Linked DNA regions of Xenopus tropicalis. The protein of the gene in region 3 purifies or fractionates together with the protein of the main gene of each other region. This does not show direct contact. Links are inferred from orthologs where the notes say so. Each region holds a gene or a part of one and is shown on either strand. Other genes may lie near its edges.

The links.
Region 1: the proteins of tgfbr2 (region 3) and eng purify together in Homo sapiens (affinity purification with western blotting; 3 studies listed by BioGRID). This does not show direct contact. The link is inferred for Xenopus tropicalis from reciprocal best matches to the Homo sapiens genes TGFBR2 and ENG.
Region 2: the proteins of tgfbr2 (region 3) and smurf2 purify together in Homo sapiens (affinity purification with western blotting; 3 studies listed by BioGRID). This does not show direct contact. The link is inferred for Xenopus tropicalis from reciprocal best matches to the Homo sapiens genes TGFBR2 and SMURF2.

Annotation. Positions count from the first base shown.
Region 1 is NC_030684.2:24,489,684-24,493,436, reverse strand, and holds the start of eng (endoglin), read right to left. Parts: upstream 2,129-3,753; 5' UTR 1,791-2,128; coding exon 1,736-1,790; intron 1-1,735. UniProt on the Homo sapiens protein: Vascular endothelium glycoprotein that plays an important role in the regulation of angiogenesis. Required for normal structure and integrity of adult vasculature. Regulates the migration of vascular endothelial cells.
Region 2 is NC_030686.2:51,425,870-51,429,622, forward strand, and holds the start of smurf2 (E3 ubiquitin-protein ligase SMURF2), read left to right. Parts: upstream 1-1,151; 5' UTR 1,152-1,391; coding exon 1,392-1,443; intron 1,444-3,753. UniProt on the Homo sapiens protein: E3 ubiquitin-protein ligase which accepts ubiquitin from an E2 ubiquitin-conjugating enzyme in the form of a thioester and then directly transfers the ubiquitin to targeted substrates.
Region 3 is NC_030682.2:49,107,006-49,110,658, reverse strand, and holds part of tgfbr2 (TGF-beta receptor type-2), read right to left. Parts: coding exon 3,464-3,653; intron 2,272-3,463; coding exon 1,463-2,271; intron 1,110-1,462; coding exon 968-1,109; intron 146-967; coding exon 18-145; intron 1-17. UniProt on the Homo sapiens protein: Transmembrane serine/threonine kinase forming with the TGF-beta type I serine/threonine kinase receptor, TGFBR1, the non-promiscuous receptor for the TGF-beta cytokines TGFB1, TGFB2 and TGFB3.

The sequences.
Region 1 (3,753 bases), on a different chromosome or scaffold from region 3:
TGAACATGGCCCTGTAAACCTCCTGCGCTCTTTTCCTATCCTTCATTGATAGTTTGTTGTGAGACTCCAGTTTGTTATTACGTAATGGCAAAGAACTTTTAATTATAATATATCTCTTTCCTAATGGCATCTGCAGAGGATAACTATGAGAACTTATGGAAACTGTACAGTGCAGTATTCTCAGCAATTCCTTATAGATTTATGTGGCGTGCAAGGTTTTGAGTAATTTGGTTCATTTGACGTCCTCCTGCACCTATATCTAAGGGGTCTGTCATGCAGATAGGATAGGATATTTCACATACATACTTACATACATATGAAATAATAAAAGTCAATAATCCTTCTGATCCAGCTCCCCCATACAGAGACTAGTATTGTTCCATTTTTTCCATGACATACTTTGGATGTTCTTACATGATACATTCCAAGTAGCAAATCCAGGGGGTGTAATAAATTAGAAGAACTTAATTTAGAGGATGTGGGACATATTTCTGGGCCTTGAGAAAACCCCCCTTTTTGGTGCTTACAACATTAGAAATTTTTTGTGCTAGCCTTTTAAGGAACCAATGATTTAAAACCCTCCCAGCTCAGTCTATAGAGAAATTCCGATATGCAGAGAATGTAGCCATTAATACTCCACAGCTGGATTACCTAAACCATTGCCTAAAAGCTGTCGCTGAAGTCTGAGCAACCCCAACCAAAGGTTGGCTTAGAATTCTGGGACTTGTAGTTTAACAAGTACAGGCTGATCATCCTTGCATTAGAGACTTATAGCTGAAAACTGTTCTACATATATTTTAAAATAATACAAATTTTTCCAAAGCTTATTTGGCAAGCATACAGTTTCAAGCATAAATGGATAAAATAATTACAGTAGTAATTATTAGTAGTAAAGGTGTCATGCTGTTTTTTACACAGGAAATGGATATGCTTTTATCATGTGATAAAAAAAATGTGTAGCTCAAGTGTCTAGTTCCTGTTATTTCACTGGTATTAGCTCCTATGTTGTACATTGGTCATCTGTGTTTGGGGTCCGCTGTAGGTCAAGGGTATGCTATGGAAAGCAGCTGAAATGTTGTAGAACTACAAAACCCAGCACACCCTTGGAATACCTTAATTATTTCAAATTATTTCAGCTAGTGTTTCTTTTAAACCTTTTCTAGTATCTTCTTTGGGAAATATTGTTTCTAAATTTAAAAATTAAATGATAACATTGCCCAAATTTAACAGGTAGTCAATATATTAATGATCAAATGAAATAATTTTATGATATAAATAGGCGAACCAAGATGGGGTTTGGATTCAAATTCATAAATTGTTTCAGGATTGGGCCAAATTCAGTCTAAACCAAAAACATAGGTGCATCTGTAGATTCACAAAACAAGTGGAGGACAGAAAGGTGGCTGTGAACTAGAGCCCCAGGTATCCATGTCCCAACAGCTAGAGAAGATAGCACTAAAAGAACTTCTCCACCTCTGTGTTCTAAGAAGTAAAAGAACCATTTCGCATTGTTTCTTTCCTAGCAAAGGGGTTCATTTTTGCTTTTTGCAGTTGGATGCAACAAAGAGTGTGAGAACAACAGACACAAAAGAGCTGGCAGCTGAAATCAACTTGCCTTTGAAAGAACACCTACCTTTCTAAGGTGAAATTAAAGAAGTAACTACAAAAACACAGAGTGGTCTTATATCTTGAAATCAACCACAGAGGATTGTTATTCACTTGAACAGAGACTTACTTGAGTGTCCCATGATGTGGCAGAGAACAAAGATCATTAGCTGTAATGCTCTCATCCTGTTGAATCTGTTCTTCCCGTTTCTACGGAACTTCTTAGCCTGTGTCCAGTGGTGCAGGCTTAGAATAAGCTCCCTGCAAGAGGCAGAGTGGTGTCACAGCTGGGAGGAGAGGCACAGGGTAGAGCGGAATAAAATAGCCACAGAAATCCAGATTTTGTTCCTCGTGAAAGGACTGACTAGTTATAGAGAGAAGGAGAGAAGGAGAGACAGTCAGACAGTTGAAAAGGAAGTCTGTAAGATAGTAATTGAGGAAGAGACAAATGTCCACATTGCTCCACGCTGCACAGATACAGCACTATAAGCCCTCTGCAGGAAGCTGATGGGACGGAGGGAGGTCTTATACAGCTGTAGATCACTGGCCCAGAAGGAAATGCCTTTTACACAAGTTAAAGTACAAAAAAAAAAAAAAACATTCTCTAAGGAACCCACATACCAGAATATGGGCCAAACAAACAGACCCCCCTCCTCCCTCCATGCACACGTCCAGCAGGAAGAATGATTTTAACTGTATGAATGCCATATCAACTTTATGGTGATGTCCAACTTCAATGAGGACATTGAATACAGCTTCTTTGCATGCCTGTGATATGAAAATCTAATTGCAAGCATCTCTTAAGCATGCTTCTCTTAATGCTTTGTGTAATACGAATGTGCTACATAAATATATAATAAAAAATGCCACTAAAGCAACTGGTATCCATAATACCAAACATCAATTGAAAATTCTGTCCTTGACATCAAATGATTTCATGTATTGTAGATTCAGTGGGAATGGTGTCTCTGAATATTCTCATTCATCCAGGTCATGATATCCAGTATCTAGTAGAGTTTTTCTGAGTGGGAATGGTCTTTAACACACAAACTTTGCCTTTGGTGTTATGAGGATAGAAGGGTTATGGAATGTTTTCTCTGTATTTGTATATTTGGTTGTATAATTTACTGGAGGCCCTTGGGTTGGATGCAACCCTCCAAGGGATGGAAACAACCTGCTCAAAAGTTCTTACAGATATCGTTGTGTGACATCGACATCTAATAATCGTCATTTATGAGCCCTGCTTGCAAGATTTCATTGGGTATAAAAAGAGATACCACTACCAAAGAAATCAAGATAACCTGCTTGGCCAACGAATCGTGGGTTGTGGGGGGGTCTCACAGCCTACTTTTTCCCGGTGCCTTGGCCAGGTCCTGGATGCCCTTCCGCTTGGTGTCTGGGAATTTCATCTCGTTTCCCAAAAATCTAAACGACTGGAACACTATGAAAAGGCAGTTTTATGATGTAAGTGGCATTCCCAATGTGTTGGGTGCAATTGATTGCACCCATGTGGCGTTAAACCCCACCCAAGACAGGGAGCATATATTCAGGAACAGGAAGAGCTACCACTCCCTGAATGTACAAGTGGTGTGTGATGCACATATGAACATTCTGAGCATCGTGTTGACTTTCAGTGGGGAAATTCAACCTGCTGCCATTCTCACAGCATTAAAGGAGACATATTGGATAAATTGGAAAACCCTAATTTTGTAGGCAATTATGAATAATATACGGTGCTGGTTTCCCTTTGGGCTAAAAATTAATCCTATCTGTAACAATGGCCCCTTTATTGGAGCTCCCTATAGATCGTATCACTTCTCTGTCCGAGTCTGAAATGGAGAGTGGGCGTGTCCTAACGGTCCCTGCCAGAAGCACCGTAGGAGGGGAGAGCCAATCACAGCCCTGCAGTCACACAAGCACAGACAGGCTTCAGTTCCCTATCAGGTCAGCCTAGCTGCTGATTGGTTCTTATCTTATAGTGCAGTGTATGGAGGGCCGCCGGCTCCCCAGCTCATCCAGAGAATTCAGCCAGCAGGAAGTGGAACAGATGGGCGGGGCTAGTGGGGTTTTGGTGGAATTTCTCAATAAATCAGTCTGAAACACAACTTTTTTTAGCACAATCCTTCTATATCTAGAGGAGTATAATTC
Region 2 (3,753 bases), on a different chromosome or scaffold from region 3:
TGGTGTGACTGTCTCTCAGTGAGTGTCTCTCAGTGAGGGACTCTGGGTAATGGTGTGACTGTCTCTCAGTGAGTGACTCTGGGTAATGGTGTGACTGTCTCTCAGTGAGTGACTCTGGGTAATGGTGTGACTGTCTCTCAGTGAGTGACTCTGGGTAATGGTGTGAGTGTCTCTCAGTGAGGAACTCTGGGTAATGGTGTGACTGTCTCTCAGTGAGTGTCTCTCAGTGAGTGACTCTGGGTAATGGTGTGAGTGTCTCTCAGTGAGTGTCTCTCAGTGAGTGACTCTGGGTAATGGTGTGAGTGTCTCTCAGTGAGTGTCTCTCAGTGAGTGACTCTGGGTAATGGGGTGAGTGTCTCTCAGTGAGGAACTCTGGGTAATGGGGTGAGTGTCTCTCAGTGAGGAACTCTGGGTAATGGTGTGACTGTCTCCCAGTGAGTGTCTCTCAGTGAGGAACTCTGGGTAATGGTGTGAGTGTCTCTCAGTGAGGAACTCTGGGTAATGGTGTGACTGTCTCTCAGTGAGTGTCTCTGGGTAATGGTGTGAGTGTCTCTCAGTGAGTGTCTCTCAGTGAGGAACTCTGGGTAATGGGGTGAGTGTCTCTCAGTGAGGAACTCTGGGTAATGGTTGTGACTGTCTCTCAGTGAGTGTCTCTCAGTGAGGAACTCTGGGTAATGGTGTGAGTGTCTCTCAGTGAGGAACTCTGGGTAATGGTGTGAGTGTCTCTCAGTGAGGAACTCTGGGTAATGGTGTGAGTGTCTCTCAGTGAGGAACTCTGGGTAATGGTGTGAGTGTCTCTCAGTGAGTGACTCTGGGTAATGGTGTGACTGTCTCTCAGTGAGTGTCTCTCAGTGAGTGTCTCTCAGTGAGGAACTCTGGGTAATGGTGTGAGTGTCTCTCAGTGAGTGACTCTGGGTAATGGTGTGAGTGTCTCTCAGTGAGGAACTCTGGGTAATGGTGTGAGTGTCTCTCAGTGAGTGTCTCTCAGTGAGTGTCTCTCAGTGAGTGACTCTGGGTAATGGTGTGAGTGTCTCTCAGTGAGTGTCTCTCAGTGAGGAACTCTGGGTAATGGTGAGTCTCAGACTGTGCGTCGCTCACAGTGTCCGGCCCCGCCCACATTCCTGCCTCCCGCTACTTGCAGTCTCCTCCCACAAGTGTCCGTGTCTCCGCCCCATTCCCGCCTGTGCCCCGCCCCTGTTCCCCGGTGCCTCCTCCCCGGGCTGTGAGTGGCTCCCCCGGCCCGTGTGGCTCAGTGCTGTCTCCGCTCTGCCCCAGGCTGATGGCGCTAGTCGGTAACTCGGGGCCCCCACAGTCCGCCTGACTCTCCCGCCCTCCCTCCGTACTCCAGGCCGCGGCCCGGGCCTAGCCTTGCTGTGGGACTCCCCGGGGCCATGTCTAACCAGGGATCCCGGCGGAACGGGCCGGTGAAGCTGCGACTGACCGGTGAGTAGGCCCGATACCCCTGCGTGGGGCAGAAGGCTCAGGGTGGGAGGGATCACAACAACAAGTTGGGCCCGGTGCTTCCCAGCATTCCGTGCGTTTGTCATGAGTTCCGGGGGCAAGTAGGGTAATATTCACCCCAGCTACTTCCTGCCGTTAGTTACCCCTCAGGCCTAACCTGCATGTTCCATTGAGCCCAGGGGCCCCTCTGGCTTGGCCTGGAGCTGAGCAATTGCCCTTTGAGGCAGGATTACTTGCCCTAGGTGGGGGTAACTAGTTGGTTTGGGGCCCTGGGTGCTTCTGGGGTCACACCCTGTGCTTATTGGGGTCCTGCCCAGGCTGTGAGTGCGCCCCCTAATTACAGGGCAATAACGAGACCTAATTAATAGAGTTTATATGAGTCTGGCGCTTGTACCCCTGTATGGGGCAGTTAGCTCATGTATGTGCCTGATTCCTGCGCCACTTGCCCCTGTATAGGGGGTACTTATTAGAGGGAAGAAGTCACTTGTGTAGGCTTGTGGGGGCGCCAGGAACCCTAAAATAAACCCCAAATGCCCAACCCCTCCCCTATCGGCCAGGCCTGGGGGCTGCAACCATCTTCCTTCAAGGCTTCGCAATCCCCTTTCTGGGCTAATGTGCATTTGGGGCAACTAGGATTGCTGCTCTTTGGATTCTGCCCCTGCTCAAGGTACCAACATGGCTCCTCAGCCCCAATGTGTCTGAGTTGCATCTCGATTGTGAAATAAGTTTTAGTCCTTTAATGGCATTTTACTGTATTTTGCGTGAAATCTGGAGTGGTCATTGGGGTATGTAATGGATCTGCCCTGGGCACTGCCACCCTTGGCTACTGGAACTCTGGCTGGACCTTATTTGCCCTTTAACTCATCTTTGAAGAGGATGCTGGGATTTGTAGTTCTTTAACAGCTGGTTGCCTAGGCATTCAAAAAGCAGTATTACTAAGTCCTTACCATATGGGCCCCCCTTTCCTCACTGACTACAGGGGGGCTGGTATTAAAAGCAATCATGGGTACCCACTCTAACCATAGGAAATGCCCACAATGGCTTGGCATGCAGAGATTTACAGTGGCATCCATGGTAGTGAGTATTGGCCTTGTCTGGCATTGTCCTTTAATTGTGAACCCTGTTGTTCGGGTTGCCTTTTGCTCACACTGAATGCTGGGAGATGTAGTTTCACAATATGTGGGCCTCTGGCCTAGGTGCCCTGCATTGTCAGTACAAGTGCAGCTGAGTGTGAGAGAGTACATGGAATATGAATCATGGTTTCTTATGGAGTCATTCACACTGGCAGTTTCCTTCTGAGCATTTATACAGAAACCATAGAGTTGTGCCCATAGGCAGACATACAGATACCATAGAGTTGTGCCCATAGGCAGACATACAGAAGCCATAGAATTGTGCCTATAGGCAGACATACAGAAGCCATAGAGTTGTGCCTATAGGCAGACATACAGATACCATAGAGTTGTGCCCATAGGCAGACATACAGATGCCATAGAGTTGTGCCTATAGGCAGACATACAGATACCATAGAGTTGTGCCCATAGGCAGACATACAGATACCATAGAGTTGTGCCCATAGGCAGACATACAGAAGCCATAGAGTTGTGCCCATAGGCAGACATACAGATGCCATAGAGTTGTGCCTATAGGCAAACATACAGAAGCCATAGAGTTGTGCCCATAGGCCCATGTCCCCCTGACAGACCGGCGTAGCCCCAGGTTTCCCCCCTGACAGACCGGCGTAGCCCCAGGTTTCGCCCCTGACAGACCGGCGTAGCCCCAGGTTTCGCCCCTGACAGACCGGCGTAGCCCCAGGTTTCGCCCCTGACAGACCGGCGTAGCCCCAGGTTTCCCCCCTGACAGACCGGCGTAGCCCCAGGTTTCGCCCCTGACAGACCGGCGTAGCCCCAGGTTTCGCCCCTGACAGACCGGCGTAGCCCCAGGTTTCCCCCCTGACAGACCGGCGTAGCCCCAGGTTTCCCCCCTGACAGACCGGCGTAGCCCCAGGTTTCCCCCCTGACAGACCGGCGTAGCCCCAGGTTTCCCCCCTGACAGACCGGCGTAGCCCCAGGTTTCGCCCCTGACAGACCGGCGTAGCCCCAGGTTTCCCCCCTGACAGACCGGCGTAGCCCCAGGTTTCCCCCCTGACAGACCGGCGTAGCCCCAGGTTTCGCCCCTGACAGACCGGCGTAGCCCCAGGTTTCCCCCCTGACAGACCGGCGTAGCCCCAGGTTTCCCCCCTGACAGACCGGCGTAGCCCCAGGTTTCCCCCCTGACAGACCGGCGTAGCCC
Region 3 (3,653 bases):
AACACGGTGTGTGCTACCTGATGGCTAAGCCAGCTGTTGGAGATTTCAGGTCTCCCTCTATCCCTCAATACATTGTCCTTCATGCTTTCAACACATGGGTGCTCCCGCACTTTTGTGCCAAATGGAGGCTCGTAGTCCTTTACATCTGCAGTGATAAAAAAAAAAAAACAATTAAGTCAACTTTTACTAGGCCTATTGGCAGTTTCCCATCTAGGCATTAATTTATCAAGGTTTGAATTCAAATTTTTACTGTGATTTTGCATAAAAACTCCCAAATTCAAATTATGGTTAAAAAACTCAAATGTAAAACTTCAAATTCATGTAGAATTCAGTGGGAGTCCTATGAAAAATGTGTATGCGTTTTTTTTCAGATTTTTTAGACCCATTAAAAGATGATGGGAAGAAAATACATTTGATGCATTCAAGTTTTTTTCCCATGGTTTAATTTGATTGAGTTTTTTGTATTTCAATTTCTAAATAAATAAGCATTTGAGTTTTCTAAAATGTCAAGTTTATTTCAATTGAAAAAACCTCTTGTTTGATTTGTGATAAATAAGCCTCCTAATGTTTTGTTCATTATTAGCATGAGATTTGCTTGTTTTCAGATTAGATAAATACCTGTTAATCTATGTACAACACCTACCTGGTTCCAGGGAAATGCCTTCAATTTTAGGGTAACTGGGTGTATATATTATTTTACAAATCTACTTTAGTGTAGTTGGGGTAAAAACAGGTTTAAACAATATGTTTGTGTAGCTCTCACTTATATGGTATAACCATCCAATGGACCAACTCTGGTGGCAAGGCTAGACTGTATATAATGGACAGTTAGGATTTCCATAATGAACATTATTCTCCCTGCCTCTTGCACACACAATACATGCCTACCTGCTGTTTCAGCTAAAAAAAATCATTAATACGTTAATATGGACCTATATCTTAATATCATTAGAAAAAATATAATTACCTCCAATGGCATTGCAGCGGGATGTGATTTCCCAAAGGACAAGCGCCATTGAATAAACATCAGTTTGCTTAAATGATTCTATGTTCTCCAGATTGATTCTAGACTCTAGAACCTCTGGAGCCATATACCTAGCAGTTCCGACCTGTGAAAAGGAAAAATGAAATCAATTAAAACCAAATCAAAGTTGTCCCAATACTGATAAAATGTCTATTGCTGCTTTATTTGACACCAATATTACTGCAAACGGCTTATTATTGTCTAAATTAATATATAACACTTGCATGAAATATAAGGAAAGCTAAAAGTAATTTAATAGTGCGCAGGGCTCTAAATAAATACTAAACATTCTTTGAGAACACTCAATGAATGCTGCAAAACATTTAGTTATAACGTCAGCAATAAATATTGTCATTTCTACACAAGAAAAAGCAAATGATTAATAGTCCGTAACGCAGCAGTGCTAGTCATGTGCACATCACACAAAATTTGTCTAACCTGGCCACTGTTTGCAAGATCATCCACTGAAAGTGAAGGTTCAAGCCAAAGAGACAGACCGAAGTCACACAAGCAACATGTGAGATCATTTTTAACCAAAATATTTGAGCTCTTAATGTCGCGGTGAACAATTGGTGTCTTTGGTCTGCCACAGGGTGTGTGATCACTGTGCAAATGAGCAACGCCACGGGCCAAAGAGCCTCCAAGCTTCATAAGGTCTTCCCAGCTGATGATATGCTTGGATAAATATTCTTGTAGATTGCCTTTAGAGTGGAAAGCAGTGATGAGCCAATACTGTTTGCCAGTGTCAGTTTTCCTCTCTTCTGCTGTCAGGAACTGCAGTACGTTCTCATGTTTCAGATTCATGTCAGAAAAAATATCTTTTTCCATCTTCCAGGATGCATATTCTTCAAAATGGAAAATTTTGACAGCCACTGTTTCATACTGTTCTGATGTATTTTGTTTTAGCTTGGCCTTGTACACTTCAGCAAATCGACCTTTCCCAACCAAAGTGTCTAATTCAATTGGGAGAAGCTCAGTATTGTGGTTTAGGTTGTTGGCACATGTTGAACTGATGTCAGAACGATCATCGTCTATCATAATCGCACAGGCATCGCTGCAGTCCATATCGGGATGGCGCATGCACTTTGGATTCTTTTCCCATTTCTTTTTCAGTTTCTTTGTTCTCTGAACACGGTAGAAGTAGAAGCCGACGATGACTGCAATGGTGATCCAGACCAGTGGAAGAAGAGTGATGAGAAGAACTTTCAGGAGTATGTCTTTAGATGGGTCTATATTTGTCTCATTTGCTAAAAACAAAAAAACATTTTAGTTTCAAGGGCAAACAAGCATGTGGAACACAAACTCACCATTAGGTATCATTGCAATCAGAGACACCGCTGGTGTGTGTGGTTAGAACATTTGATGCTGGAGTCCTGTTATTATGACTGTGTCACATAGCTACTCTATTTGGATAAATGCAGTAAACACATTCCCTCACTGTAGTAAAAAGTGGCCGCATATACATTATACTAAGGGTATAGTAAAACAGACACAATAAAATTAATGTCACAATTTAATGAATATATAGAACATATAGAATGAACTTTTATTAAGGATCGGCAAACTGTGAGGGATCCAACCAAATTAACAGGAAACTAGGAAGAGGCTGATGGAAGCCAAGCTCTCATAGGATTATTTAAGACATTACATGTACACAAAAAAATTCTCATTACATTTTATTTATGGAGAATCTGTATATTGCTTAGAGTTGTATATGGGGAAGTTAACCAAAATTACATCTCTGAAAAGCTCAGACAAATGGTACAGTGAAGAGCATCCTAATGGCAAGGGTGATGCCATTCAATTTCCCAGGTACCATTTCTATGGTATTCATTCACATATAATACAGAAAGGTACATAACCACAATAAAAAAACAGTCAGTGATAACAGTCAGTTATCGCAAAATGTTACTATACCCATGAACTTCTAAAAAGCATTGATACGCTTGTATGGCTAATAGGACAAATGGGAGGGAAGTGCAGCCTACTTTAACTTCCAGGTCTGCCAGTGCCACACAGAGAAGCCAGGCAGCCACAAACTACAGTACATTTTCGTTCCACACAGATTCATTACAATTTGTGTTTTCCTTGTGGGATGCCCATATGTTCCAATATAAATATTGGGTGAAATTGCTGCATATGTATTTATGTGCATGGCCACCCCTATTTGCTGATCTCAAGATCTGAATCAGAACAAATGAGTCACGCCAACTGCGTTCTAACCAAGAAAGCAGACATAGGCTGGCCTTTTCTGTTGTGCAGTAATCACAACTTTGCAAATCAGGAGGAAATCAAGGGACAAAAGGGCACATATATAAAAATAGGAAAAGTGATGGAGAGGTAAAGTATAAGCAGTTTGCTAAAATAAACAGATACATTATCAACAGCAACAGAAACACCAAAAGGCCATAATATAAAAATAATCAAGTAATAAATTACCTGGAGGAAAAAAAAACCTCTCAGTACAAAGTTTTCCTCTACACGAACACATGGACATTATTCCCTCACTTGTCTTTTTCTCCTTCATGATGCACTCTTTCTCATTATAGTCATCCAGTTTATAGCCATACAGTTCCTTTTTTGGGTCATGACACATTGTTTCCTCGGTGATGTTGCCATCCTTATTCCT